Struthio camelus: one gene and its partners. The main gene of each other region encodes a partner of the protein of the gene in region 3 in a complex. Links are inferred from orthologs where the notes say so. Each region holds a gene or a part of one and is shown on either strand. Other genes may lie near its edges.

Evidence for each region.
Region 1: TRAPPC8 (region 3) and TRAPPC11 share a complex: the UniProt entries of both Homo sapiens proteins name them as parts of the multisubunit TRAPP (transport protein particle) complex. The link is inferred for Struthio camelus from reciprocal best matches to the Homo sapiens genes TRAPPC8 and TRAPPC11.
Region 2: TRAPPC8 (region 3) and TRAPPC12 share a complex: the UniProt entries of both Homo sapiens proteins name them as parts of the multisubunit TRAPP (transport protein particle) complex. The link is inferred for Struthio camelus from reciprocal best matches to the Homo sapiens genes TRAPPC8 and TRAPPC12.
Region 4: TRAPPC8 (region 3) and TRAPPC9 share a complex: the UniProt entries of both Homo sapiens proteins name them as parts of the multisubunit TRAPP (transport protein particle) complex. The link is inferred for Struthio camelus from reciprocal best matches to the Homo sapiens genes TRAPPC8 and TRAPPC9.

What each region holds. Positions count from the first base shown.
Region 1 is NC_090945.1:50,752,926-50,760,717, reverse strand, and holds the start of TRAPPC11 (trafficking protein particle complex subunit 11), read right to left. Parts: upstream 3,012-7,792; 5' UTR 2,881-3,011; coding exon 2,677-2,880; intron 1,723-2,676; coding exon 1,553-1,722; intron 1,203-1,552; coding exon 1,132-1,202; intron 1-1,131. Other genes in the region: RWDD4 (RWD domain-containing protein 4), read left to right, coding at 3,477-3,500, 3,771-3,851, 6,412-6,521, 6,635-6,779, 7,149-7,263. UniProt on the Homo sapiens protein: Involved in endoplasmic reticulum to Golgi apparatus trafficking at a very early stage.
Region 2 is NC_090944.1:27,993,310-28,000,487, forward strand, and holds the start of TRAPPC12 (trafficking protein particle complex subunit 12), read right to left. Parts: upstream 3,020-7,178; 5' UTR 2,929-3,019; coding exon 2,910-2,928; intron 2,768-2,909; coding exon 1,560-2,767; intron 1-1,559. Other genes in the region: EIPR1 (EARP and GARP complex-interacting protein 1), read left to right, coding at 3,768-3,809. UniProt on the Homo sapiens protein: Component of the TRAPP complex, which is involved in endoplasmic reticulum to Golgi apparatus trafficking at a very early stage.
Region 3 is NC_090943.1:142,843,514-142,851,003, reverse strand, and holds the start of TRAPPC8 (trafficking protein particle complex subunit 8), read right to left. Parts: upstream 3,011-7,490; 5' UTR 2,871-3,010; coding exon 2,714-2,870; intron 1-2,713. UniProt on the Homo sapiens protein: Plays a role in endoplasmic reticulum to Golgi apparatus trafficking at a very early stage. Maintains together with TBC1D14 the cycling pool of ATG9 required for initiation of autophagy. Involved in collagen secretion.
Region 4 is NC_090943.1:168,238,636-168,246,545, forward strand, and holds the start of TRAPPC9 (trafficking protein particle complex subunit 9), read right to left. Parts: upstream 3,007-7,910; 5' UTR 1-3,006. Other genes in the region: CHRAC1 (chromatin accessibility complex protein 1), read left to right, coding at 6,185-6,319, 6,836-6,962. UniProt on the Homo sapiens protein: Functions as an activator of NF-kappa-B through increased phosphorylation of the IKK complex. May function in neuronal cells differentiation. May play a role in vesicular transport from endoplasmic reticulum to Golgi.

The DNA of each region.
Region 1 (7,792 bases), on a different chromosome or scaffold from region 3:
CACAAGTAAGCACTGTGTAGTGCAAGGTCAAACTAGCTCTAAAAGCTTGACCAATACAACGTATGGAAAATTTAATACACCTAACATTGAGTACGTGTTCCTTCTTGACTTCATTCAGAACACTACATGCTTCATCCAGTGGAAGAGATTGCTAGCTAAGCCACTCCAGAAAGCTTCTGTAATAAGGTAGAAGCATGTCACAAATATTTCTTTAAATTTTTAATCTCCCACACAGATAAACATCCTGTATCTTGAAGACTAAAATGGCATCCAGAAGCAGATGGAGAGAAAACAAACAAACAAAAAAAAAAACCCACATAAACACACCCCTCACCAAAACACCCTACCTTAACCAAACGCTAGAGAGCGTGCAGCTAGAGCTGAGGTAGCAGCTTGAGTGAAATTTAAAATTAAAACCCACCAAATTCCACAATTCCACTTAAGTCATGTGTTTTTTGTCCACATTCCCTACTTTGGATCTTGTCTTTTAAAGACTCCTTCGCCCCTCCATTAAGGGGAATTTGCTCTCCTTTAAATCCAGAGCAGAGAAGGAGCCTTCCGAGAAATTCCATGACTTCCCTGCCAGATGTCTATCAAACAGGTATGGCCTAAAAGTTGGCTGATCCAGAGAGAAGCTAGCTGAGAAGGCATGAATGAACTTAACAAGCAGTCCTACCTTATGCTCCAAAATTTTATTGATAAACACTAGCAGTGTTTGAATAGTCTTAAACTAAAGGGTTCCGTAGTTACCAGATGCCCTTCCTCTAAGCTCTCATTACTTTTATGTTTTTTTTCCTTTATCTCCAGAAAGCTTTAAAATACAGACTACTTACAAGGAGACACATTATGCATATTACACTAACATATCATTTTTGATACACAGTATCAAAAGCTTCACTTGGACTTCGGAGGAAATAGTCAAAAACAGAAGCATCAGATTTTTAGGGTCAGCTGCCTTGAGCGTTCACTCCATTCGTACAGCTCAGTGCAGCCACAAATGCATTTTACACACATAAATGATAATATATTAAGAACCGTAGATAATGTGACAAACGATGGTCAGTTCAGGCCTTCTGGAAAAATGAGATCATCACAACTGTATACAGAGCAGTTTAATTAGCTTTCTAGTACCTGGAGGTAACGGTGTTTTTTTCTGAATCAAAACCACAGCAACTTTCGTATTTCGTCCCTGCAAACTTTGCCTAAAATAAAAATAACATAACATAATGTCAAGGTCTCATCCTATGTTTGTAAATAATCAGAAGAAAATGAGATTTCAATTTAGATGGAAGCATTAAAAGACTGTATACGAGAAATAAAAGCGAATGCAACAATACACTGCATCATCCACAGAATGCAGTGCTCTCTTCTTTGCTCACATGGGAGAGAACAGTTGTGCTGAGTTTAGAAAACAATAGTTAAGGAGTTTGAGTTGCCCTGAATTTGTGCCTAAGAAAAAAAATATTTATGCTTTATAATGCCACAAGGATTCTGCAATTTACACATCGCCGTTAGCTTGTAGTACATCACGAACTAGACAAAATAGCTCTACCTGACAATTTCAACTCGAGTAGCACATTCAGACTGTTTTTCTTTCCATTGTGGCTCCTCCCAGTCTAGTTCATAGAACACCACAACAAGTGCTGGAACCAAATTCAGGTGTTTGTTCATCCAACCGGTCTTCAGGATACCTTTCGGAATATACCACTCATAGGACGTTCTCTGAAAATATTTAACACATTAAAGCAAGCCATCAGGTCAGTTTATGGTCCTTTCAGTACAGTAGGAGAAGGGGTATTGCCTGTACATCCTTGCTACTTGGGGATACGTTTGTCATCTTTCCTTTGACATTCTTCCCTTCAAGCCTTTGTCTCCTAACAAGCAGGACATACACCTCGCTCCCAGGCATCAGAGCCAGATGGCAGAGACACGAGTAACCAAGAACGAGAGATTCCAGGTAGACTTTACAAAAGGGTTAGGTTCAGAAGTGTTTCACGCGCTTCTGTGAAGTACTAGGCCCATTTTGCAAAGGGTTTCCCATTTGCTCAAGAAGCTGTCAAAAGGATCCAAAACAAGAAAAGAGAAACCGGTTTGAGGTTTAGTTTCTTGCCAGCATCACTGAATTACGTGGCTTTCCAAGGATCAAACCCACCGATATTGCTTCTTAACTGCCCCTGCAAAGCAGAAAATAGAGCACAACAACTCCTTCTGCTGTGTCCCACTCAGGTAAAGACTTCACTTTTTCCAGGACACGCTAATTTCAAATACTTGGTTTTCTAGCGTTCAACTTAAGGTTTCATTACAGCTCAAACTTTGCAAGTACCTTAAAAACAGAACAACTGACGGGCAAGCGCTTTTACGGCAAGTCCCGTTAACGTGCTCTGCTCGCCGCTCCTGAAGTAAGGCCACCTGGTTCCCCACACATCCGTACCACGGCAACCGCGGCTCCCCCTCCCCACGGCGGCCGAAAGGCGCCAACAGCCTTCCCAGGCCCCCAGGCTCCCCCGTTTCCCCTCACACCAGCTGAGGGAGCGGCACCCGGGCCGTTAGCAGCTCAGCGAGCGGTGGACACGGCGCACCGGGGCGGACCCCCCCCCCCCCGTGTCCTCCCCGGGCCACGCCGCCGGCCTGCGCGCCCGCCCCCGCGCACAGGGCCCGAGGCCGGCCGGCGGCTACCTTCGTGCGGCACTTGGGGTACTCGTGGTCGCCGGGCAGCACCTTGAAGGAGATGGGCACGCGGTCGGCGCGGCGGTTGGCGCAGAAGGCGTCCCAGACGGCGCGGTGCACGGCGTTGTACACCACGTCCAGGCCGGTGAGGGTGACGAAGGCCATGGGCCGGCAGCACAGCTCCACCGGGAAGTCCCACTGCGCCGGCGTCATCCTCGGCCTCGGCGCGCGCGGCCGGCAGGGCGGCACCGGCACCTCAGGCGGCCGCCGCCGCTCGGCTCGGCTCGGCGCCCCGCTCCCGGCCCGGCCCCGCTCACCGCGGCGAGCTCAACCCCACACAGCCCGCCACCGCCACCGCCACCGCCACCGCCGCCGCCTAGGAGCGGCTGGGCGAGGGCGGGCCGAAGCAAGTGCCGGGAATCGGACGGGCAGCACGAGCAACCAATAGGTGCCCCTGCTCCCCCACCTCCAGCCACTCAGAGGGGACACGGGTGCTGACGACACTGGAGAAGCAGCCAGTCAGCGGGAGAAGGAAGCGAGGCGAGGCTGGCGGCGCCAGCCAACGGGAAGAGAGGGGCGGGGGAGGTGAGGCCGGGAAGAAGAAAAGAGCCAATGAGGTGAGGTGATGCCATCTCGCGGGGGGGGAGGGCGGGGCCGCTCAGCCGTTCCGCGCCTGCGCGCCGCGCTGCCTGTGCGACAGCGGGGTCCTGCCGGGGCGAACCGGCCGCGGGGGCGGGGGCGGAGGGGGCCGCCGCTGCCTCCGGCCTCCGGCCGCCGCCGCCGCCGCCTCCCCCCGCCGCGCGCGCGACATGGCGGCCAACGAGGACCAGGAGGTGAGGTCCGCCGGCGGCCTTTCCCGCCTCGGGAGGGGCCTGGCGTGCGGGCAGGGGGCGCCCAGGGCAGGCGGCGGCCGGAAGCGGCCTGCGCGGCAGGGGCGGCGCGGGCAGGCGTCAGGAAGGTAGGCCCCCTGGCGCCGGGCCGTGCCGGGCGCTGCCGGCCTCGGCCGGGGAGCTAGCGTCGTGCCTTGCCCCGGGGCCGCGTCTTGAGCTTCGCCCCCCCCCCCCCGGCTGAAATGGCTAATCGCTCTCTCGTGTTTCCTCCAGATGGAACTGGAAGCGTTGCGGTCTATATACGAAGGAGACGCGTGTTTCAGGGAGCTGAGCCCGGTTTCCTTCCAGTACAGGGTAAGGCAGCGTGAAGTTCTGTAGGTCGGGGCAAGGCGTTGCTGCCCGCGCGACGCAGATGTTTTCCTGTCGGACGGTGCAACATCCTCTTCGGCGTGACGTTACTCTGTGCGTTTTGTAGGTACAGCGCAGTTTTTGTAACGCAAAGGGGTGCTCCACAGGCTGTAAAGGCACCAAAGGCTAGATCTGTCGGCTGCTGTTCCAGAATCTTTGGTACGGTGATGCTTGATATCACACCGCTTAATATTTAGGCACCTGCCTCCAGTGTGCGTTTATTATCCCTTAACTAGGTAATCTGCTTGCACATCTGTCTAACGCATAGCGTATGTAACGCACAGAACTGTCAAACTGGCCAGAGCATGCCGAGTAATACTTGCAATAGCCAGTAGGAAATGACAGTTACAGAAAAGCGTATGTGTAAAGTCTGCGCCTTCCTTATTGCTCAGTTGCAAGGTTCTCATTTTCTCTCTGGGGGTAGTTTATGTGCCTTTTCTAGCTGCTAAGGAGGAAAATGCACAAAATGCTTTCGGTATGTATACTGGTGTAATTGGCTTTGGGGAAAAGTGCAGGAGGTTCTAGTTTGAGGTTTGCAATTCACTTTGGCATGAATTTCTTGCCGTCTTTCTCAAATATGATGAATTGGAAGTTCTCCTGGGCGTGGGCTGAGGCAAACCTTTGGACTGTCAGAGAACTTCACTGATGAAAACTTAGGTGCACATGGGACAAAAACTCTGAACTTGCTGTGTCCCTCAAGTGGGGTGTAGGCGTCTAAAACATTTTGATGATTTCTTAAGACTTCAGAATAGCACCTTTAATTGTAATGAGAAAGGTTGATTAGGAAATAGCACTTGAATCCCACCCATGCAAGTGCAGTCTTCCTTTATTGATAGGACTGCTTCTTTGCAAATTTTTTGTTCTCAGCAGAGTAAATGTAGCCTGCCTACCTGCCTACATACAATGTTGCATTCTACATTTGGCTAGCTTTTGTCCTTGCTAATTTTTCATAGACAGAGAATAATCATGGAAAAATTAGGAGAACCCAATTTAAATATTATATACTTAGTGTCAGATAGAGACCATAGCACATATTTCTTGTGAAAGAAAATGTGCATTATAAGATAGTATAGTACGATTAACTGCATGATAAAGTTGAAAGAATTAATATGCTCTTTTTCTGAACCTCATTTGCCTACCACATAGGTATTTTGTAATCACTGTGCTAAAAAAATTGAGATTAAAGAAAGACTTTTCAAATCCTGAGGAAAATGTAGCAGCATCATTCAGAGTAAGGCTGCCCAATTTGCAGGCTGCACTGACAGGAGGAGTGGTAACCATGCATCTTTCTCTATGGTTTTACTCTGTAATGTGCAGGCAGTGTTTTCCTGACATGAGGAAAACTCTGTAAAGCATACCACCAGTTCTCTTCATGGTGGCTCTGGGAAGTGGACTGCTTCACCGTGGATGATGTCTTGATAAATGTAGCAGAGTCCTGATTTAATGCCTTTAACCCTAAAACAGATGCCACTGAATATCACTTAGTCTACTCTGCTGACACAGAGACCGTAAACAAAATGAAAAACACTGATTTCAAAATATTGAAATGGGATCATTTGAATTTTGAACCATTTTAAAGTGCAGTAGCCTTGTCTCGATTAGGAATTTTTTTTGACTGCACTTCATTCCGCATAGGTCGATGAAGCCAGATTTTGACGCTTCTAAAATTAAGGAAATTCTTCTTGTGGTTTTAAAATACTAACTAAACCAACTTAATTACAGTAGTGTAACAAATCCATGTATGAAATGTTTATTTCTTTTTCTGTGGTACATTTTTGTTAGCCTATACTAATTTTCTGTAAAAAATTGTTTTAGTTTTTATTTCACAGAAGTTAACATAATCGTAAGGATCATAAATACAATTTAAATGAATCACTAAAGCTAAGTGTTTGAGAGAGTGTTTGACTTAGATGTTATTTCGGTTAAAGTGAGCCTTTTTTAACATAACGTTATGTTTTTTTTTTTCTTTTCCGCCTAGTTTCATTCTACTGGCTTCTTGACTGTTCTTTTGAGTCATTCTTTCTTATTGTAAGCTAAAATATCTGTAGGGTAAGACAAAAATACTAAAATTTTTACCTATTACTTGTGCTGTCTTAGGTCATTAATTTATTTTGTTCTGTATTTCACCACTGTGTTATGGTTTATTTTCATAATGGAGAAAAAAGAAGGTTTCATATTTTCTTTTCTCATATATGATTGTGTAGTATTTGCCTTGTAGACACTACAAAGAAGCATTTAAAACCAAGCAACATCTCCATAAAAATAACTTAGAATGCTTCTGCTCCATTTTCATAGGATGAAAACTGCAGAGTAGAGGTTAATGTTCATATGTAATACTTCTTTTCTAGATAAGAGCTTTATTTTCTGACAGGTAATAGCATGAAAATAGTTGTTATCTTCAGAAGAAATTTCAATAGTCTTAAGTGAAAGATGCACATACTGGCATTGTAATCTTTAATGAGCAACTGAAAACTGTTAATTTATGAGGTTTTTCTTCTCCCTCCAGATAGGTGAAAATGGAGATCCCAAAGCCTTTCTAATAGAAGTTTCTTGGCCAGAAACATATCCACAAACAGCACCAGTCATATCGATGGATGCTTTCTTCAACAACACAATGTAAATATTTAGGACAGCTTCACTCCCTATTTTTATATATTGGGGAGATTTGTTGGTTGACAAACTTTTCTTCTTCTGTCAAGATTGTAACTGAATTTTATGATTTCTTTTAGATCTTCAACAGTTAAACAAAGCATATTGGATAAATTAATGGTAGAAGTTGAAGCTAATCTTGGAACTGCTATGACGTATACGCTTTTTGAATATGCCAAAGATAATAAAGAATTGTTCATGGAAAATCAGCCTGTTAACACTGTGGTAAGTAGATAAACTGAGATCCTAATCTATTGCTTTTAAATCACTTCTCAAATATTTTATATGTAAATAGCAAAAAATGGTTATTAGAACTCTAAATACTTTATCATTCCGTCTTTAACATGTTAATCAGTATACTGCATATAAACATGTTAGTAAGTAAACAGTGGCACATGGAATATGGTGCCACAATGTTCTGTGGTCATAATTTTTCTATATATATTTTTATATATATATATATATGACAGTCAAGATATTTCAGTAGGTCTGGTTCAGTAATCATATTCAGATATCTTCATTCTGTATTTATACTGGCTTCTTAAGTATGATAGGTGAATGCAAAATATTAATAGCAATTTTTATCCTTCTCAGACTTCAGCAAGCAATAGTATTGCAATTGGAACTCCTGATGTGCCAGCAAGTAAGAAGAAAGATAAAAAGGAGCAGTTATCCAAAACTCAGAAACGAAAGCTAGCTGACAAAACAGGTTTGTTCGCTGTAACGCTGTTTTGTTTGAGCAGTATGGGAGTCTAACTTTTATAGCAGTGACGTCTTGCTGGAATCAGGATCAGTAGTCTCTTTGCTTATAAAATTGATTACTTTAAATCTATGATCTCTGTTTTACTTATTTTACATGAATTATGTGAAATGTTAGTTCTGATCAAAACAGCTTCCTACAGAGTACAAATTTTAAGATATCTTTTGTTATTATTATTATTTCTTTTTAATTTGTAACAAAAGTGCAATTTTCGAAAATATTATTTGGGGAGAGCATTTGGGACATCTAAAAGGTGTGCGTTTTGTTAACGGGCCCTGATAAGTAAATCACGTTATTAAGAACGTAATTTCTAAATGGTAACGTTATTTTTCAGATCACAATGCTAAAACATTTAACTTAGTTTATATTCTCAAAATAGAGCTGCTTCTGCAGACGCTCTCTGCTTTTAATGAAATGATGTGTTAATTGAAAAATGTTCAGCTTTTTAACTGATTCTGCAGAGGATTTGTATGTGTTC
Region 2 (7,178 bases), on a different chromosome or scaffold from region 3:
ATGTAGCTGTTTATAAACAGTAATCCATGAAGAAAGTAGCAGGAATCCCCTTTGAGTCCTTCCTTGATTTTACAGCGGGTCAGCTGAAATGTCTTCTTTTCAATGATGTACTGAATGGTACATCTGCATATATGCATATGACCTAGATTCAGGGGATGATCAGTGCAAGTAACCTTTTAAGCCTTGACTCAACTGAAGAAAGCGAGAAAGAACTATTGCAAAAATGGAGGGCCACAATAAGAGGGACCTTGTCCTTTGGGCTCATGGAAGAAAATATTCTTTCTTTTCATTCATTAGCTGTTAGGAGAGAAATATTACAATCTTGAATTACTCATCAAGCTCTAAGTGATTTTTTGGGAAGGTAGAATGAAGTAGAGGAGGAGGTGCATATTACCACAGTATTTTCTTTCACACTAATGATTGGGTTCTACAATGACAATCAAACGTTTTAAAATAAAGCTAACCCAAGAAGCAGCAGCAGCAGCAGCATGGTGTATGTCTAAATCTTTCATTTGTTGCTTCAGTGACAGACACAAAAAAGGAAACTTAAGATTTTTTAAATAATTCAGGTACAAGTCCGAACTACTTTCACTCCAGGAACTTTTCCGATAGTTACTGCAAATTGAGAAGTTCTTGCAGACCGTTCTGCAAGAACCCTTATTCTGCTACCAACTGATAATCTTTGTTATGCTATTATTAAGGCTTAAATATCTGAACCCTCAACACTACCTCTCTAGATGACAACTCTACTATTCAGACGTAGATATGGAAAAGTAGGATTTGCCTATTTCAAGAAAAAACTCCATTTGGCTTTGCTGAGCTGCCAGGATATATAATTCCTTCACTAGAAGCGTTTAACAGATCTAAGTAAAACTTCTCCGAACTCTGAAGAAAAGCCTTATGCTTTCTCATCAGTTGTGAACTCTGGTACAAGAGAAGGAAATGGGTTTCCACTACTATGCTCTTCCCTTCAAGATCTAATTGGAATGCCGCTCCTTCCCAGCAGCTGGCTCTAGCACTCATCTTTCCTATAGCTTACGCCTTTCCACTGCTTAGGAAAGATATAAATGATGCAATTCCAGTCAGTGTCAACATTATCCACAGCACTGTGAACATCACTGTAAAAAACGTTCTTTCCAGCTTGGTTGCAACAGTGAATTCCACAAGCAAACAAAGCTGTCTGCCTTCAGACTTCACAGGACAGCATTCTGATTTAGTTTATATTCCAAATCTGAGCATAATCTTTCCAACTAGAACGGGCCGAAACTAACTGAAAAGACTTAAAAATAGCAACCAGCTTCGGATTCTACGTAAGCTGTCAACACTGGTCTTCAATGTACCCAAAGAATTTCACTACGAATACATCAGATCTTATTTTAGTCCTTTCACGTATGAGTAGGCAGTCACACTAAATTTTCTGATAAGGATTGGAGTAATACAAACAAGGTGCCCCTAGGCAACAATATGAAGCACTAAGATGATGTAACAACTATTGGAAAGCTCTTATTCAATATTTCTAAAATATATTCAGAGACTAACATATAATCACAGACTCTTACCTGGATATTATCAAATTTTAATCCGGGCATGGTGAGATTCTCTTTGTCTATGAACACAGTGCTGTATTGTTGTGTGGCAACTGAAATTAGAACGTTTCTAGTTTCCTCACTAGGGAGCCAAGCATCATTTCTTCTGTCTAGTTCACTCATATTCAAGGCTGTGGCAAAAGGGTCGTCACTCCCAGCAAAAACAGCCTGGATTTGTGAGAAGGGCTTGGGGGATTGAGATATTTCTGGAGGACCACCTGCTTCAGTTCTCCCATTTCCCAGAGAAAAAGTAGGGTCAGGCGAAGCATGAGAACTGTCTCCAGTGGAAGAAATAGAGGACATTTGTTCTGGGACTGAAGAGCTTGCATTGGGATTACTGACAGAAATAAAACTGGATGTGGTAAATGAATCAAAAAAATCAGAACCTAAAGTATTAGTGTTAACAGTATCACCAAAAAACTTGCTTAGACTAGGACTTGGTTGAACTACCTGTGGATTAGACTTCACTGGAGTCTCAGTTATACTACTAAAACTGGGAGATTTTACCATCTGAGGCTCAAAACCATCATGCAGGAACAACTGTGGCTGAGTATTAACATTGTTTGCTTGGCTGAAAATGGTACACACAGGGATAGGCTCAGCTTCAGGAGTCGGTTTGCCAGTACTGGGTGATGATAGCTGGTCCTTAGGTTTGCTTTCATCAGTATCACTTGGTCTTGTTCCAACAGGAATGTTATTTACCAATTTCAGTTCCTCTTTCACTGCTTCCTGAATTGATTCTTCCTTTAAAGATGTCTGATCATCTGTTCCAATCTCAGAAATGTCTTTGGGTGTTTCTTCATGTTCAGTTTCACTCTCATTACTTAAAAACTCTTCCTTACCCACTTCTGCTTGTGTTTTTTGGTTGTCTTTGGCTTCCATTTGTTCTACAATCTCCTGCAGACAACCAAGGTCACCAGTGTCATCTTCACTGTTGTTTGGAGAATCTGAAATAATGACACTCTCCATCATTTGTTCATTAAGTTTATCTATAAAATTATTAGAGTCTTCTGATACGGTTTCATTCCCTTCAGACTCAAATTCGTCTCCGCCAAGATCAATGGTTTCCTCATGAAAGAGAATATCTTCCCGAGTTTTCTGCTGAACTCTGTCTCCACTGTCCTCTTCATCTGAAGCGTTCTTAGCATCCTTAGCATTACTCCCATTACTTTCCATTGCAACTAAAGAAAGAAAAATGAAGGAAGAATTAGTTCTGCTACTGAAGCCCTAGTCAAAATCACTATCCTGAAACTCAACAGCTAAACAAATACTTGATTTAAAAATACAACCACTTCACTATTTGACATTTCTCTCGGCATTTACCACAGAATAAATTCATCATAAGAAAAGGTCTTCTCTTTATTCTTTACTGTTCTGAAGTCCCAAAATACTAGGATTCAAGAGCAAATGCTTCCGATGAAACACAGGTTTAAAAAAAAAAAAAAAAAGGTATTTGGCCTCGCAAAGGCCAAATACTTGGAAAGATTAACTCAGCCCCAGTCTGCGAGAAGGGAAGAGCGGGTTCAGTCCCGGCGGAGCCGCAGCTGTCGCCAGGGGCTGCTGAAGCCAGGGCCAGCCCAGGCGGCCCCGCAGAAGCTCTGGCGGCAGCCGGGACCTCAGCGAGGCTGCAGGTAGCGGCGCTTCCCCCGCCCGCCGCGCAGACCGGGCCCGGGCCCTCGGCCCGGCCCTGCTCCAGGCCCAGCCGGGCGGCCGCTGCCGGGCTCGGAGCCGGCTCTCGCGGCTGCACTGCGCCGGGCACAGCGCGGCCGCCCGCGCTGGGAGCGGCCTCCGCCACCGCCGCCGCCGCCTCCCCGCGGCGCGGTGCGGACGGAGCCGCCGCCCTTCCTCGGGCCCGCCGCCCCCCGGGCCGCCTCAGCGCCCACCCGGGCGGTCCCCGGCCGGCGAGGGGCCGCCGCAGCGACGGCAACCGCCGCGCTGCGCGCCTGCCCCGCCCCTCACCTCAGCGCAGCGCAGCGCAGCGCAGCGCAGCGCCGCCCCGCCGACCGCCGCACTGCCAGCACCGCCGCCGCGCCGAGCGCCGCTCCCACCGCGCCTGCGCCGCGGGCCGGGCGGGCGGGCGGCGCCTGCGCCAACGCGCCTCCCGGAAGCGGCGGCCGACGGGCAGCGCCGAGGGTCAGAAAGGCTGGGGGAGAGGCGAGCGGGCGGCGGCGGCGGGCAGCTATGGAGGACGACGCGCCGGTGATCTACGGGCTGGAGTTCCAGGTGGGCGAGGAGGGGCCGGCGGTGGCGGCGGGGCCTGCCTGGTCCTCAGGCGCGCTGCCTGTGGGGCCGGGCGGGGTGCCGGGCCGTGCGGGGGTGCCGGGCCCTCGCGTAGAGCCGCGGGGCCGCCCCGGAGGCCGGCGCGGCGCGGCGCTGGCGGTGCCCAGCGGGAGGCGGCGGCGGGGTGAGGCGAGGCCGGACGCGCCGCCCGCCGCTGCGCCTCGCCGGCCGCGCCCCTACCACGGCCCTGCGGCAGCGCCGGGCCGTGAGCGGGTGAGCACGGGGCAGGAGTTGGTGCCTGCCGCCAAACTTGGCGCTTTGCACGGTGAATGCGTCAGGGCGGTGCCAGCAGGGCTTGTGGGTTGGCTTCCTGAACGGTCGCGTTCAGCCCGGCTGTTGGTCTTCTGCTCTGTCAGCAATTGCATGTCCCCGTCTGGAGAAGGCCTTGTCTCCTGCTGGGATGACTGGGGAACACCGGGGATCTCAAGGATGTTCCTGTGGTTGGTTTCCAGTTGCAGACTAAGCAAAAAAAAAAAAAAAATCTTGTGAGAAGAGGGCAATATAGCTGTTTCCAATGAATTTTAGATTTTATTAGGTTATACCCAACTGTTGAACTACTTAATGTTTGTAGATATTTCTGGATGTAGCTTCTGCATTGTTGGATTTGTCCCACAGCATGAATTTGGCCGTCACATCGCTGATTCTAGCAACAGGGAGATGATGCTGTGATCCTGCTACCTACCTGTGTTACTCTTAATAACTTTTGAATTTGTTGATCCTCTTTGTAGAGGAGCACAGATGTCACGTACAACTTTGTATGAGTTCTAGTAGAATAAATGGTTAAACAGTTGCATAGATGAGAGAGCTCCTAATTTATAATGCTTTTCCACAATTAAGTTTTTACTCAGCTCTTACATGTTCCATTTGGCAATGCCTGGGTTACCATCATTGTTGTAGTATCAACAGGAGGTGCTGTGTTCCTCCTGCAGCTGACAGAACAACACTTTCATTTTGCAGTGGATGGGGTTATCTAAGTAATTGTATGTATACACATGCAGATATTTTATAGCCGCCTGTACCAAAGTGCTCATGGAACGTGTTCTGGCAACCTGCAGTGGCTCCCTGGGCTGGGTTTTGATGTCCTGTTTTAATGTCCAGCCTATTTAGTTATATGCTCAGTAATCCGGACTGTATCGACAAATCTCTTTAGCAAACTGTAGTTTTATTTTGTTTTCCATTTCTATACTAGTTAGTGTAAACATTGATCTGTAGTATATGTTAGATCTGCTAGAGTCTTCATAATATGATATCGTTTTGTGATTGGCTAAAGATGGCTGCAACTCTTACTTCAAAATTAATATAAAGCTTAAATTTATGCATAGATTTCTTTTTCATCACAGAGTAGACTATATCTTGTATTTTAATGAAAATCATAGTTTCTTTTTTCAGTTGTGTAAAATAAGTCTTCCAAAATCTTGGAAAGACCATTGTCTGGGACCCCCATGGTCCTGCCAAAAAAAAAAAAAAAATACATCTCCTGTAGACATTTGATTTCCTGCAGAGTATGTAACAGGACTATCTGATGGGAGGATGGAGCAAAAGGACTAAGAGGATAGCTGTAATCCAAGAGTCTACACTTAATGCATTTAGAAACAAAATAGGAGAAGAAAAGATGGTTTTATGACTAAGGCAGAAAAGCAGCGTAGAGATGGAGGCTCTATTTTTGATCTCCATTAACTGCCAATGTGGCCTTAAAGCAAATTACATCTCAGTACTTTTTGAGACGGTCTCTAATGGAGAGGCTGAAACCTAAAATGGGTATGGTTTTTCTAACTTGTGTCACCAGGTCTAGTAAAAGATATTATTATTCTTTTTAAGCCTGGTTTCGTAATGGCTCTGTCATCACAGCTTACACTTCTCTCCAGCATACATCAGAAGCGCTTAACTGAGGGATGCATATCTTCAGAAAAAATTTTTGGTGCAATTGAAAAAAATTTTTGTTGTTGTTGCTTGTGTTTGGCTCTTTCAGTTATTTCCAGACTTTACTTCAGTTCTAAAAAAGAGTTTAGGGCTTTGTTTATTCAAAGTTGAGATTTGAAATGATGGAGCATTTTTTAAAAGAAGAAAAGGGTTGGGAGGGGAACTTGTTTTCTGCTTTCTTGCTTTGAATAAAAACGATATGTGGTAAAACTGTGAAATCTACAAGCTCTGCTAGGGATTGCAGACTACGAAACCACATTTGTCTCCAAAAGTCGGTAAGAACCTGCTTTTGACTGCTGTCACAGACAGTGTACCAATCTCTGATATACTTTTGATATGATCCAGTGTGCCCAGACTTTAAAATTTGACAGCATAAAGCTTATATTGCTTCTGGGGTGCTCCACTCACTAAGTTACTGGAAATCAAACTGCAATAATTTTATTATCAGTTTTACGTGCCAAGTATTTTTTATATATCGACATAACTAAGATTACTAGTAGACAAATCATTTACTATTTTTTTTATTTGAATCTAGTTTTCATCAAAATAAAGCTCAGCAGAATAAGAGTGTCTTCCTTAGAAGAACTCCATCATTCACTGTTCTGATGAATGAAAATGGAAACTAAAGGTATAAATCGTGAGCCCTGCAATTGTGTATAACTATTTGGTATATGTAATTACTTGGCAAAAAGTTTTACCAAATAACGGTGAGAAGCAGCTTTTCTTCAGAGAAAAAGCTAAGCATCTAATGGCAAAGCAAGATTAAAACTGATGATTAATTCAGTTTTCTGCCTGATTAGTTAGGTTTTTTAATCTGCTTTTTTCCCCTCCCTTGTTTTATCAGATGACTGCAGCTTTTTCTTTTTATATGGTTCATGCACTCCCACAGTTCCATTATAACCCACAAAGTGTGGTTTCTCAAAATGAGTGGTTTTCTGCCTCTTCAATGTCTAAGTACGCTATATGAATGTTGTGCAAACGTGCATAATCTGTGTGAATTCTAGCATGTGTGATTCTTTGGTGTTTTTTAAAACTTTGACAACAACCGGAGCAGGTCCTCCAACTGCAGTGAAAATGAGACAACTGCAGAGTAATGGATAATGAGTTAAAGCGTGAGATGCTGCCTCTCATGAAATGAGGGCTGGGTGATGTGACTATGGATCATGATAAGAAGTAAGGGGCAACAGTAATAGCTGCAAAACACTTCAGTACAGAAAAGTTATGCTTTTGAAAGGAACCTTAGTAGACTTCATCAGTATCCTGAGTTATGTGCCTGTAATAAACAGGATCTCAGGGGTGTAGTTGAGAGCCATTGTTTGCCAGCGAAGTTATCCAGTTCTTACTTGTTCTTTGCAGAGTTGACCTATATTTACCAATTTGGAATATACAGTA
Region 3 (7,490 bases):
GTACTTCCTCAGCTCCTCTATAATTTGAGGTTTTGCTGAGTACAAGGGAGAGCTAATTTCCAAAGAGATGAAATAAAAATTAACCCAATTTTACATTAAGAACTCAATGAGGTCGCCACTAAATAAAGGCCGGAGTACCAGTTCCCCCCCCCCACAAAAAAAACACCAGCCATTCACTCACACAATATTTCCTTCCCTTCCAAGGGCTTAAAACTGAAGCTACCAAACAAACCACAAGCAATACAACACACCACAGTTGTGAAGGCTATACAGCTAGATGCATATATGCATACATCCCGCTATTTTACAATCATATTGTTAATCACGTCTCTCTGCCTCTTATCTGGACATTACATGCATCGCAGAAATGGTCTGATCAAACCTATGAATGTACAATTTAGAACCTATCCTATGTTTCCAGGGTCTTCTGCAGGGGATACAGTTAACAACGTCACTCACTATGACTGTAAATGTAACAGTGCTTGCACAAACCGTGATAAGCTAAGTTTCCCTATCATAAAGTCCCACAAACTCTAGAGCTACAGAAATTGTTTGCCATGATACAAACTTAAGAAGTTTTATCGCACTGATCTACCCTTCTGTCTGAACCAAAGGTCTAGTACTGCTTTTCCTACCCTCATTCACACTGGCTTTCATGACAAGAAGTTACTTAGAGTATAATAATGTATTTTCCATGAAACTAGAAGAGGAAGTCACACTTGAAGTGCAGAAATGCAGTCAAGTGTGCAGTCTATTGAATCAGAATACCTAGAGAGCAGCATAGCAACAAAATCCACTGCTATGAACCTCAAATTCTCAGTTCTCTGACCCATAAGTCAAGTTTTGAATAGGATAGTTTAGACTGTCCAATCCTAGAGAGAACAAGAGCAGCACTGTTTCTCAACGACTCATCATGACATAGTCACAGCTATGAAGTTAAGAAAAGAAAACTGTTATCATGGGGATTTACATCAAGTTCATGTGGGTGTTCATTTATAGTACTACATCATGGAGCTTAGAGAAGAGCAATTACAGAACCATCAGAAGTTACAGAAATCAAATATCAGTGCTTTTCTACGTAAGTTTTAGAACAGTATAGAAATTCAGTCAGTATCAGTCTCTTAAAAATAAGATCAAAATCTTATACTGTACACACGGAGGGAATCTGATCTTTAGCCATAATTAACTAATAAAATTTTTAAAGGAGGATGAAACTGATTTTGTTGATAAGCGTGTTATATTATGGCACTTACGCAGGAAGCATTGAAGAGGCTTGAGGTTTGAAAGTTCCTTAACTGTTACAATGGTTAGAATAAAAACACTTACAACTAAGTGACAACAGAGCAAATATTCTTCAGAATGAATACTCCATTCTGAATTGCCTACCTGGTTGTGTTCGCTAAATGCATTCTGAAAGCTTTTTTGCTAAAGAACCTAAAGAGATATTTAAGAAATCTGAGAATTTCAAGGATTTGAGGTTCTGCATTATTATTTTTATTTGTGCTATATTCTCATGTGGCTCATGAGTGTTGCTAAAGAACAAAAGGGAAAAATATTAATAATATTTAACCATAACTTGTTTATAAATAAGTTGCTAAGATTTGCATCAGAATTAAGATAGATTTCAACACATACTAGCTTTTAAGTTGGCACCATTCACCTAAACAGTAATACAAGAATTCAGCTGAAGTAACAGTACAAGCTTAGTTTTCCTGCAATGTTTCCTCAACATAACACAGTAAGAGATAAACCTCTGAGCTGAGTGCCTGCTAGAAGCCAAATCTGATAAAATACCAAGGCACTGCTACTCTGTTGAGCAGTTCTGTTGATTGCTGTTCAGCATACCGTTTTAATGAGCAGTATCCTGAAAAGTACAGCTTAGTTCAAATCATCCTTTGGAATTTTTTTTTGTGTTACAGTAAAGGAGCCTTACAGTTTCTCTAAAGTGGTCAACTTCCAGTTTTAATACTATTTTGGCTAAAGTCATTTTATCTCTATGCCACATAAGCAGTCCATCCCTCTCCTTCTGTTTACACAGGTGTTACACAGAAAAACAACAAAAATCACATTTGATAGAACTACAAGGGAGAGAAGGCAAAGACTTACAGCTGAAATTGCAATTAACACTCTAAAAGAGTAGTTACACTTTCAGTAACTGTCTCTCTTTAATAACAGCCTTACCATAATTTCCAAAAAAAAAAAAAAAGAAATCAAAAAAAAAGTTCCAGCTGTAAATATTTGTGAGACAACAGTGCAATGCTAGAAAAAAAAAAGTTGGAAGAACCACATGTAAAGATACCTTTCCCTTCAGCCTTTTGTCATGTCTCCAAGAGCTGCCTAATGCCCATGGCTCCACAGGAAAGAGAAGATCAAATACAATTAGACAGATTTACAAGTCACCTCAGGCAACCCTGGCAACCTTGCACCTCTGCATAGCCTGTCATGACACCAGCCCTGGCTAACAGCTGGCCCGGCTGCCACCACCCTGGCCAAGGGGCAGGGGTCCCACCTGCCTCCCTCTCTTCGGGCCAACCTTGGCAAGCAGCAGGACAGAGAAGGGGTGGCGACAACCCCGGCCAGGCCTAGACAGGCGAGACTCCTTCGCCGCCCTGGCCCTGGCCCGCCGGCCACTGACCGGGCCAGGAGGGCGGAAGGCAGCGCCGCCGCCCTCCCCGCCCCCACGTAAACAAGCGGCCCCACTCCCGGCACCGACCTTCCGAGGTGAGGCGGCAGAAGGGCTTCACCAGCTCAGCGAAGCTCAGGTTGTTCTTGCGGGTGAGTCTCTCCGCCTCCTCGCTGCACAGCGCGGCCACCAAGGGCACGAACGAGTCCTGGATGAACTCCTGCACCGACTGCACGCACTGGGCCATCGCCGCCGCTGCCGCCGCCCGGGGACCTCAGCCGGCCCCGCCACCTTCCTCTGCCCGCCCCGCCGGCCGGCCAGCCAGCTGCCTGCCCGCTCACCGCCGCGGCCTCCCCTTATCTCCAGCACCAGCCGCCTCCCCCGCGCGCTGCCTCTGCCTCCGCCGCGGCCGCTCAACAACCGTCCGCCGCCATGTCGCGCCTAAGACGAGCCCATCAGGTAGCGCCCGCTCCCGGCAGCCCTCGCGCTCGCTCATGTGATTGGGTGACAGGGGCGGGGCTGCGATGAGGCGGGGCGGCCGTTGGTGAGAGGGGGAGTTGTCGGCGCGCCCCCGGGGCAGTTGGGCCGTGTTGAGGGCGCGGGAGCTGCTCCCAACCGCCTCCCCGCCGGCGGGCGGTGTTTGCCTCCCGGGGTCCCTCACAGGGGAGCCGGCAGCGGAGGGGCTGGTTAGCACTGCTCCTCCTGCGCCCCTCCTCGGGTCAGCCACAGCAGGGCCGGCCTGGCTGCAGGGCGGGCCAGGCAGCTCGCCCGCCGGCCGCCGGCCTCCGCGGCTGGGGCAGCTCCGCTGTGGGGGTCAGAGCACGAACACGGCGGTGCGAGTTGTTCCGCAGAAAAATTGGTCGTTACGGACTAGGTGCCAGAAAAGAGGAAGGCTGGATCAGTCATGCTTTTGCAGAGCGGTGCTCAGTCGCTAACAGTTCTGCTTTTTTTTTTTAGTGCAGAACTAGTACCCTAGAAGAACAGTTTGGGAAGTTTTTTGTTTTTTTTTTAACAAAAAATAGGCACAATGGTTAAAAAGTGAAGAATTGTTTGGGTGTCTGTAGCATGCAACGTAGCTTCATTTTTGAGACTTGCCTATTAAGGCATGATATTATACAAGGCCTTACTTTTACATCTGTGGCCCAGGTGAGGATGGATGACATGGAAGCAAGACAACAGCGATGATCAGTGGTGATGAAAAATGAGTAAATTTTGAATACATGCTCACCGACTACTGTAGTAGGGTGGAGTTTTAACATGCTATCAGGGACAGGCCTCAGGATGAAGCTTGTAAACAAGAACAGAAAATGGCAAGAAGCCAAGCTTCACCATTTCTCCTGCTGCTAGAACTACTGTTTATGCACAACTAATTTCCCTGCTGAATCTTCATGTATAAGACTTAAAAAAGCAAAAAGAAGATGAGGTGATTTTTATGGTAGATACCAGAATCAATATATCCTAATTGGAAAACAAAACTCGGAAAAAATATCTAATTGTCTTTCCTAACACTCATTCCTAAATTACTAAATTTGTTAACTATACCAGTTGGGTCAGCAGCTTCTTCTGTGAGTGGAAAATTGGTTGATAATTCAATGTAGGCAGCAAGGAAAAGCTGTAGTCTCACTGTATTATTAATTACATGGGCTAGACTACTCACCATCTTTCCAGACTGAGTCCCAGAAACGTTACCCAAAAGCAGCTAAGTATTATAGGGGAAGAATATTTTGGCTTCAGTAGATTTTTAGAACAAGTCAAAGGTCAACATCCTGCTAGGCCACTCTCAATCATCTTTGAAAGGTCATGGCAATCAGTAGAGGTGCCTGAGGGCTGGAACAAAGCAGATGTCGCTCCAATCTTCAAAAAGGGCAAGAAGGAGAACCAAGGGAACTGAAGGCCGTCTCTAAGTATGTGAAGGACAAGAAGGTGATCCGGAAGAGTCAGCATGGATTCGCGAAAGGGAAATCATGCTTGACCAATCTGATAGCCTCTATGATGGGACAACTGGCTGGGTAGAGGAGGGGAGAAACAGTGGATGTTGTGTACCTGGACTTCAGCAAGTCCTTTGACCTTCTCCCATAGCATTTTCAAAGGCAAGCTCAGGAAGTGCAGGCTAGATGAGTGGACGGTGAGGTGGATTGAGAACTGGCTGAGTGGCAGAGCTCAGAGGGCTGTGATCAGTGGCACAGAGTCTAGCTGGAGGCCTGTATCTAGCGGTGTCCCCCAGGGGTCAGTATTGGGTCCAATATTGTTTAACTTACTCATCAGTGACCTGGATGAAGGGACAGAGTGCATCAGCAAGTTAGTTTGCTGATGATCCAGAACGGGGAGGAGTGGCTGACGCACTAGAGGGCTGTGTTGCTATTCAGAGGGCCCTCGACAGGCTGGAGAGCTGGGCAGAGAGGAACCTCCTGAAGTTCAACAAAGGCAAGTGCAGGGTCCTGCACTTGGGGAGGAATAACCCCATGCAGCAGTACAGATTGGGAACTGACCTACTGGAAAGTAGCTCTGCAGAGAAGAACCTGGCAATCATGGTGGACAAGTTGACCATGAGCCAGCAATGTGCCCTTGTGGCCAAGGAGGCCAAGGGTATCCTGGGCTGCATGAGGAAGAGCGTTGCCAGCAGGTGGAGGGAGGTGATCCTGCCCCTCTACTCAGCCCTGGGGAGGCCTCACCTGGAGTACTGTGTCCAGTTCTGGGCTCCCCAGTCCAAGAGAGACATGGCACTCCTGGAGAGAGTCCAGCGGAGGGCTAGAGAGATGATGAGGGGCCTGGAGCATGTCTCCTATGAAGAAAGGCTGAGAGAGCTGGGCCTGTTCAGCCTGGAGAAGCGAAAATTGAGGGGGGATCTGATCAACGTGTACAAATATCTGAAGTGGGGGGGGGGTGTCAAGAGGATGGGGCCAGACTCTTCTCTGTGGTGCCCAGTGACAGGACAAGAGGCAACGGGCAGAAACTGAACCACAGGAAGTTCCACCTAAACCTGAGGAAAAACTTCTTCACTGTGAGGGTGACAGAGCATTGGAACAGGTTGCCCAGAGAGGTAGTGGAGTCTCCTTCCCTGGAGATATTCAAAACCCGCCTGGATGTGATCCTGGGCAATATGCTCTAGAGGTCCCTGCTTGAGCAGGGAGGTTGGACTAGATGATCTCCAGAGGTCTCTTCCAACCTCAACCGTTCTGTGATTCTGTGAAACATCTGTGGCCTGTCCACGTTTGGAAATTCACGGAAGAGCTCTTCCAAAGTAATGTTTCAGAGACATTTTAAAGTATGGCTTGCACATTGACACTCTGAAGCAACAGTGCTTCTTGCCCATTCCACTTAATCCATTATTTCAGAACAGTTTATGCGTTACATCCAATAGATTGAAGTGAATCTGAAAAAGTCCCACTTCTATCCACACTAGATTGAAGTGAATCTGAAAAAGTCCCACTTCTATCCACAAAGCCATTGACATTAAAAGTTATTTTAAAATTCTGTTTCAGAAAAAAAAAGTGATACTGTTTTCTTGCTTTCACTAAGGTGAATATGAATAACAAACAATACAAATGCTGACCATTGTTTTGTCTTTCTAGAAGAGATTCAGTTTCTATTTCTATTTATTTGTTGCTCTCTGATCAGGCAGTATATGACTATTGGTGATCACTGGTAACCATTACAGAATGTGAAATGGAAATTTATTTTGTTGCTTACATAGAGCAAGATTTGTAAATGTTTCCTTATTAGAGTAACTGCATTCTAAATCTGCATTTGTGTGCTCAAAGTATATTTTCAGTGTATGAAAACACCTAGTACACATTTTCTTTTTACTCAGCCTTAGAAATTTTGTCCTTAGAATGTATTGCTTTGATAATAGCAGTTCTCTTCTAGTATGACTTTGTCCAAAGGACTGATTCTGTCATACAAGTTTTATATCTCCCAATTTGTGTTATAGTAAGACAAGTTAGTGTTTTCCCATGACCTAGAATTTTTGATTCAGGCTCTGACTTGTCTGCCCTACTAATGAGAGATAAACAACCCCATCTTCAATAAACATAGCAACTCAGGGTGTTGTATCCCAGATTTGTTGCTAAAAATAGTGTTGCTAAAGAGGATTCAAATAACATTATGTTTATTTACAAGACAGAAGACACTTTAGAAGAGATATATTGTATCATTGGTAATTATTTGCATCATTCCCAAGCCTCGCAATTTGTGCATGCTGTTTTGCCTTTAAAGTCTGACAGTCTCCTGGAAGGTATGATGAACAGTGAACAGAAGTGCAAAGGGACCTAGTAATAAGAAACTGTGAATCCGTGGTTTAGCCCTCTGAATGATTTAACTGAAAATACTATTTTCTTAAGGAGGAAGAGATGGGTCAAAAGAAAGAGCAGGTGAACAGAGGAAACGAAGTGAGACTATGCGTACTATAGGCTGGGACAGGGGAGTCCAAAAAAGAGTGAATAGAAAAATAGAAACTAAATAATAAGAGGGAGTGTCTTCAATAAACCAGAACAAAACATCACCAAGGCAGAAAAACATGTCCACAGTTTAAGTTGTAAAAAACTGGATGCTACTGTATCACTTGGGCCTGAAAACTCTTAGCCTCTACTCTTCTTCTCTGCTGCTGGCTGAGTGCTCTGTTACTCCTTTGGGCTAGACATTTTCCAGGCTTAGAAGCTCTGTGATTCCTCTGTGCAGATCACGTAGCCAAAATGCGTGGAGCTTACCAGTGCCCTGAGCTGCTGTCGAGGCAGATGACTTGAAAGGGGATTCTTCACCTGTTAACAGAATAATGCTGGTGTTATTGAGCAGGTTTAATGCAGAGGAAACAATTATAAAATTGCAAATGCTGGAATCTGAAATTGAATCCAGTATTTTCATTCATTTT
Region 4 (7,910 bases), about 25 Mb from region 3:
TCCCACCACGCGCTGAGGAATCTGCTGTAATCCGGGAAGTCGACGGATCGATTTCGCTTTAAAGCGATATTAAATGATAAACCTTCTATCCATGAGAGAGTCTGATGAAACATTGTCAGATGAAAAAGAACGTCGCCGTTTCATTTCTCAGCAGACGGTTCATGCACGTGGTGCAAACATTGCCCTTCCCCCAAAGAGAGGGATGAAAATGAGTTGAATTACCTCCAAGTTTAACTTTTCTAAAACAATTTTTAGAACTAGTTATTATACAAACACTTTCGGGATAATAGAAAATACAGTTAACTACTAGCTTTGGACAGAAAATGTCATTTAAGTTAATTATTGTTAATATGGCCTCCTTACAGCTCACTATTCAGGAGACCTTGTCACAAGTATATTGCTGGAGAAAGATTAAAGGATTTGGGAAGGGTCATAGGAGCACAAACCTACTTCCAACACACAAACGTTATATATAAATGCAGACAAATGAATGCTCTTAAACCATTTAGGATGATAATTACTTGAATAACCTGAACACATGTATTTCCCAGTGACAAGTCAAAAGCCTCTGTGAAAAAAAAGGAGCTGGGGATTTCTCAGCTGACAGTTAGGTGTCTCTCCTTAGAAAGCACCGCATTTATTAGCTTCACAGATGCATGTGAAGACACAAGGGACGTAATGCAAACTCACTTCTTTGCACATTACTGGCCTCTTGACAACTATGGAGAGAACTGGAAATCAACACTCAGCTACCAGACTTTTCTGTAACAGTTTTACTTTTAAAAAAAATACATCCCTGCTTACAAAACACCCAAAACCTCTCCCAACCTCACTTTACGAAGCTGTTTATTTTTGTATTCCACAGTAATCCAGGAGAGCAGACACGTTTCCCCGGATGTCACATTCTCTTCCAGCATGCTACTCATTTTCCCCCTAAGGCACTGAAAAACTGGCCACTGTAGGACAATGTGTCACAGCATTAGGTTCTGTCACAATGGGAGTTTAAGACAGAAATCTCTCGTCTTCGCAGCTAGCATATAGTTTAATAGTTTTAGCTATATTCTAGAAAATAGCTCACTGTGGGAATCAATTGTGACTGAAAAATTCAGCCTGATAAGGACTGTAGATTGAAACGGTAACTTCAATAGCATTAACACTTATTTGAAGATTATGGACAAGCAATTGCTTGGTGTGAACTGGTGTGAATTGATTTAACAGTAATTCAGGGATAATACAGATGAAACTACAAATGGAGCCATTCTGTTTCAGAAAGAATACAAAGGTAGGAAGCTGCACACCCCTTTCGGGAGGGAAGATAGCCATAGTCAAGCTTAGCCAAATTTAGGATGGAGAGGGTAGAGGGTGACAGTTTTAAATAAACAAAGTAATCATTTTTTGTTCACATACTTTTGCCAGGAACGTGACTGGGAGCATTTCTCACAGGAACATGATTGCTACATTTATTTCTACAATAACGATGCAGGTACTTCACTTTGTACTTTGTTGTGGTATCAGCGATACCAAAGCACCTTAAAGGTTTGGGCTCAGCTGAACAGAGCCAATGCTGATCGTTACTCATGAATCTACTCTGTACCCTTGGTTGGAGAGGGGTTCAGACACGCTTTTGACGTAGTTCATCTCAGCAGTCTGTTGTTGTTTCACACTTTTTTCTTGCAAGACAAAAAGGTGATGGTGATAAATGGCTTGCAGAAAGGCAGAGTTACGATTAATGTAAATTGGAGCATCTAATATTTTAGCATCTCTAGGAAATTATTTAGATTGAGGCTGTGTAAACACAGTGATCTAGAGCTTTGACACTGCTGTTAAGCTACTCAGTCTCCTGATACCCTCCAGGTTGTGGGTATATAATGTCCTGCATAATCCCAGGTGGTGGAGCGAGTCTGAAGAGAAGTTACCTAAATGGGCATCTATCAAAATCGGAAATGGAAGATCAGACTTGGCATTTTTTGCCTGAAAACCTGGCTCCCATTCAAACATTTCTGAAGCTGAAAATCTTCATCCTTTCAGCTTTTCTAACGGAGGAACTCCTACACTGAGAGTCTTACCTGAAACTTCAAAATGGTTAGGCATATTAGTGACCACTGTCAATTCAATCATTTTCTATTTGCATTTGTGCATTAACATCTACTTTACCAACGGCTCAGATTTATCTCCAAGTATGATACAGCCTTATACATCCCCACTCAATAACACGTCATCAAATGCCTTCAGAATCACTTTTTTTTTTCCTCGTGCAAGACAACGCTTCTGCTTCATCATAAACTTCGTTATAAACTGTTCTCATTATTTGTGAATGCTACTTCCGTATCGCTGTGCTTCAGATGCCAAGAACACTACTGCAGCATAGTTAATGTCTTTTGTGATGGTATGCATTTCATGATAAACAGCTTTTTATTTTAATATATCTTTACATTTACTGTAGCATGTGCCAATTGCTTATCCAGATACTGCGTTTATGCTTTGCCAGATTGACTTCTGCTTCCTCCCTTGTTCGCTGACTCACACACATTTTTTCACTGGTCCAGCACTTTCCTACTGTTCTTCACAACATAATGGTCAATGTCAATAGTCTTTTTTCTGATTACAGATCATAAATAATTTACTCTCTAATTACTCTCAATGCTCTTAAATGTGCATGGGCTGGTTTTAAAATGCCACTTTGCAACATAATGGTCAATTTTTTTAGCTATGCTCCACTTTTGTGTAAAGAAAATGTATTCGTGAACTTCTTTGGCTTTGCCAAGCAATGTGAATGTGCAGTCTTCATCACAGTCTCTCTGGAATAACTGGAAGAGCTTCAGTGCAGCTAGAATTGCTTCATGCTCTTTCTATAATATATTTGCTCTTTATCCGATAATACTCTAACTTATCTCAGTGACGTTTGGAAATTCTGCAGACACCTTCTCCAGATTCCCTTCCATGGGGAATTGTGATACATCATGTTTATCATGATTTTTCTTTTAATACCATACAATAAAGGAATGATACAGGAAAGCATTTTTCAAAGATACAGCACTCTTTTCTAGTTTCAGGCAGCTCACTAGTACATATGAATGAGTTCTGTCCCTGTTTGAGCAGGCCAACTATTCACTGAGAGGAAGCTTTACTACCACAATAGCTCTACTTCCACTCAGTATAGGACAGGAGAAGTCAAATTGGTAAATTAGGGAGTCAAATCAGTAATTTTCTTCAGTTAGGTTCTGTTTCAGATTCAGCCCATGAATTTGTTACAGTTTTGTTCTGGTTCAGAACACTAATAGTTCATACCAGTAACCTGGGATTTATATGCACTGCGTCACAGATAATGAATTAAAATAGCCATGCTACAGGGTGAGACCGCAGCAAGGAAAATTACCCCAGCCTCCTTTTCTGCCAAAGCTTGCACAATACCTATACTGTTAACACAGTGCTGCAGCATCTCTCCAGTTCCCTAAAAAGGAAACCGAGGTTGAGAAGCTCGACAGAAACTGTGGCATTGCACTGCGCAGGAAGGAAATGAGAGAGAGGGATGAGCACAACGTGTCTAATCTCTTCTCTTTTCCTGGGAAATACGTCCATACACAACCCAGAGATACATATTTAGAGTGAAACAAGTGAGATCGCTGCAGGGAAGCTCAGGTAGGCAGGTGGCAGTGACAAGGAACAATTCCTTACTATGGGACAAGAATTGTAGCTCTGGTCACTCCATTGTGTTTCCAGACACAGCGTAGTTATACCTCACCTGAGGTGCCAAAGTACCTCCACTGAGCAGGTTCTTATTCAAGGCCGCAAAGCACAGCAAAAAGGAGGACTAGTGACCCAAGCAGGAGTAGAAAAGGAGAGACTGATGTGACAGTGCTCTGCAGTTTGTAATTGGTACAAATAGTCTCTATGCTGAAGAGATTTCCACTGGGGCATATTAGTTTTCAGTGAAACTTGTTCGAATTCATCACAAAAGATACTTATTTCAGCTGGGTTCCAAGTCAGGTTTAAAGAATAATTCCTAGTAACAGTGCCAGTTCAGTCCTGATTCAAAAGAACTAACTCTAGTTTGAACTCTACAGATCTGTGGGTGGTTTTTTTTTTTTTTTTTTTAATTAGGAACAGGTTCAGTCAGTTACTGGTACCACAGTAATGCTGCCATTTCAAAACGTACTAAAAAAATAATTATTAAGTGCCAGTAACGTTGCAGTATAATGGTATCCTCAGAGCGTGTACACATCCACTTTGTGTCATGCATTGTGCTTCTGCCTCCTGCGAACCAAATCTGCATTAGCAGTGGGAAGGGAGAGATGCCAGAAGTTTGCTGTGCTCCCACTCCCGTCCTCTGTCAGTCGAACGCCCTCCTCTTCCCAGCACCGTGCTGAATGACAGAGCTGTCCCATGGGCCCTGACTCTGGGAGCAGTGGGTGGGTGAAGGGAAAAGCCTGAGAGTGGGACAGGAGCCAGACAAAAACGAGCACGTCCCGATTTGCCCAGACCACTTTACGCTACATTGTCCACCACTGAGTAAAAGGACCACTGACAGGTGCCTAGCTCCTATAGGATCTACATGGCTCCTAAACCCATATCCAGATGGCTCAACACCATCAGAAATTTTGGTAGTTTCATGGGTAACTTCATATACTGAAATCATGAAAGATACCAGCAGAATTCACTGTCATGGCAATGTCAACTGTTTCCACAAGATGTCACAAGTAGATAAGGATCAAAGAAACTGAGCCTGCAAAATAGCATCATACTATGTTATGCTTCGCTTTAGCTGTAACTGCCACAGAATAGCATCAACAAAGTTGTAACCTCAAGGGATCTTTGCAGTCTAAGAGATTTAGATTGTCTTTAAAGACTAATAGGAAAAGACGTCTCCAAATATTGTAGTGCTGGAACTGTCACATCACCCTTGCACTCAGGTATCGACATGTGCTGAAGATGTTATTTTTCATTAATAACCCAACATCACCTGTATGAAAACCTTGTCCTTATGTACTGGGCAAAACCTGCATCAGCTGATTATATCCTGCTAACAAATTCCCTGCATTTTCAATTTAATACAATTCTCTTTACTGACACTTCCCTTTCTGCCCCAAACTCGACACGTACTATTTCTGCACGCCGTGGAAAAGCCTCTACGCGTCTATTAAGCGGCGATCAAATAAGTGACCTTAGCAGACTTCTTACCAACACACGCAATCAGGCACACTGCTCGTAAAGCGCACTGAAAACTTTTGAATAAAGACACTAAGGAAACGCAAACAGCGCGTTATCCTTTCCGCGAGCGCCGAGTTGCTCGCGGAGAGGCAGAGTACGGCAGGTCTCATCCTCACAGGCACGCGCGAACTTTCCGGTCCAGCCTTATCAGCAGCAAAACCCTCCCTGCCTTCGGTGGGCCTGAGCGGACGCCAGCCGCTGGGAAGCGGGATACGAGTCACCCGAGCAGAGACGCACCGCGGTACGCTCCTGCACAGGCCGAACGTGTTAATAACAAAGACACTGCCCTATTATCACTTAATACCTTCCACGGGCCCTCCGCATCTAAATACCTCCCACGAGCGTCACAGCCCTCCCTCTGACTGTCCCTACAGCAGCTGAGGCGGTATTTAGCCACCTGCGATTACAGATCCGTGAATAATTTGGTAGCCAGTGGCCTGTAATTAGGGTAGACAGAGGCGGGGCTGCTCCCGAAGCTCAAGCGCCCGCCTGGGGCTACGACCCGCGCGGAGGGGCCGCGGGAGGGAGCAGGGCACCAGCCGGCGCCGAGAGAAGCCCCCTCCCGGGCCCGGGGAAGGGGAACCCCGACGGCGGGGCCGGGCCGAGCTCTGAGGAACCAACGGCGCCGCCGCCGCCGCCGCCGCCATCGCCTCAGGGCCCGCGGTGCATCACGGGAAGAACGCTCCTCCCGCGGGAGGCGCGGTGCACGGCGGGACTTGTAGTCCTTCCCCCTCCTCTCCTCGGCGGGCGGAGCGGTGCCTCATGGGATTTGTAGTCCAAGCCTCGCTGCTTAGCCGCGGGGCGCGGCGTTCCCTCTAGTGGCCGAAGACTACAGTTCCCAGCAGGCTGTGCTGCAGAGGCCGCCTATTCCCCCCCCCCCCCAAATCCCCGCCCGCCCGCGGCCGGGTTTGGAGGGCCGGCGCCGGTCGGAGGCCAGGCGGGGTTGGGGGTGGGGGAGGAGGAGGAGGAGGGGAAGATGGCGGCGCGGTTGAGCGGCGGCGAGAACCGGCTGGTGTCGCTGCCCCTTTCGCGCATCCGCGTGATCATGAAGAGCTCGCCGGAGGTTTCCAGCATCAACCAAGACGCTCTTTTCCTCACCGCCAAGGCCACGGTACCGGTCGCCCCTTTCACCTCCCCTCCCGGGCCGGGCCCGGTTGTGAGGGGGGGGGGCCGGGCCCAACGGCGCCGCCGCCGCCGCCGCAGCAGCTCTCGCTGCCTCCCTCCGGCCCTTTCCTACCCGCGCAAGCGGGAGGTGAAGCCTCGCCCTCCTGGCTGCTTGTCGTGTGGGGGGTTTGGGCGCCGTCCGCTGCGGCCGAGCCGCCAGGGCCCGCGGGAGCCAGCGTTTCCACCGCGCTCAGGAAACGAGCCCGTGTGGAGGCCGCCTCCTGCCGCTTTCCCCTCCCGCCTGCGGCTTGCTGGGCTGCGGGAGGCCCTGGCGAGCAGCGCGAGTGAAGTTCCCTCAGCTACATCCTGACCTTGAGCCTTTCTGAAATCCGTGGGACTCTGCGCAGGGCGTCCCACAATACGTACGGTTGAGCAAAGGGCGTTAAGTGGGGATTAACGACAACTGCTACCAACTCTATGTATTAATTCACTGCTTGACTGTTGACTTCGTTTTGATTTTTAGGAGCTTTTTGTACAGTATTTGGCTACCTACTCCTACAAGCATGGCAGAGGCAAGGAGAAGAGCGCTCTAACTTACAGTGACCTGTCTCACACCGCGGAAGAGTGTGAAACCTTTCAGTTCCTTGCAGGTATCTGTAGAGTAATAGTGAATCCAGGATGTAGTTTGGAAAATGAAACGGTGCTGTCACAGAAGCGTTCTGTGAGGACACGATTCTCCTACTGGTTGTTAGTGTCCTGTACAGCATTCGACTGTACCTCATGAACTACATCACTGAAAACACTTCTTTGCAAAAGAATGGGTATTTTTCCAGTGCTGGGAAACTACACAAGGCCTGTTAGTCCTCTGTGTATTGCTCTATCCGTTTCTTAGATGCAAACAACGCAATCTGAAAGCTTTCAAGCCTATAAAATGAGATCACTTTAGGTCTTTCTGTGTCAACTTCTGTTATCCCAGAAACTACAGATGTAAATCTACAAATCTTAATTCTCAAAGAGAGTCATTCTCTGGTTCCACTCCCCCTTTTTAGTGTGTAAGTATATGTGTGCACGCACATATACATTTTTTGCTGGTACTGAGATTTTTGTTTTAACACTTAGCTCAGAACAGATATGGGAAAAGGATATGGGTTGAGGATGAGATGTACCTAGCCCAGTTTTTCTCCGAGCACCTTATGGGCATGCTTTCAGAGCATGCAGTCCTGTTTTGTCACAGGTCCATCATTATTGCCCTGAACAATACCTTCCTTGAGTACAGAAAAACAATTTCCACAGAACATAAATGGGATGGCTATCCAGTTAAATGAGCACTCATTTTTATTTGATGTAAAAGTAAAATGAAGTGATTAGGTAGTAAAGAGAGTGGTCTGTAATCAGTTTTATAACATATATTCCTCATCTTTGATTACTTGTACCTTAAGTGGGCAATTCCCTCCTTTTCTCACAGCTTGTTCATAAGCCAGAGTGAATAATCTGGTTAGTCGCTAAAAGTATAATAACTTTTCAAAATTGCCTCTGTTGGACTTTGTTTCAGTAATGATATGGATGCAACAGTATTTATGAGATAATTTAAGTATTCA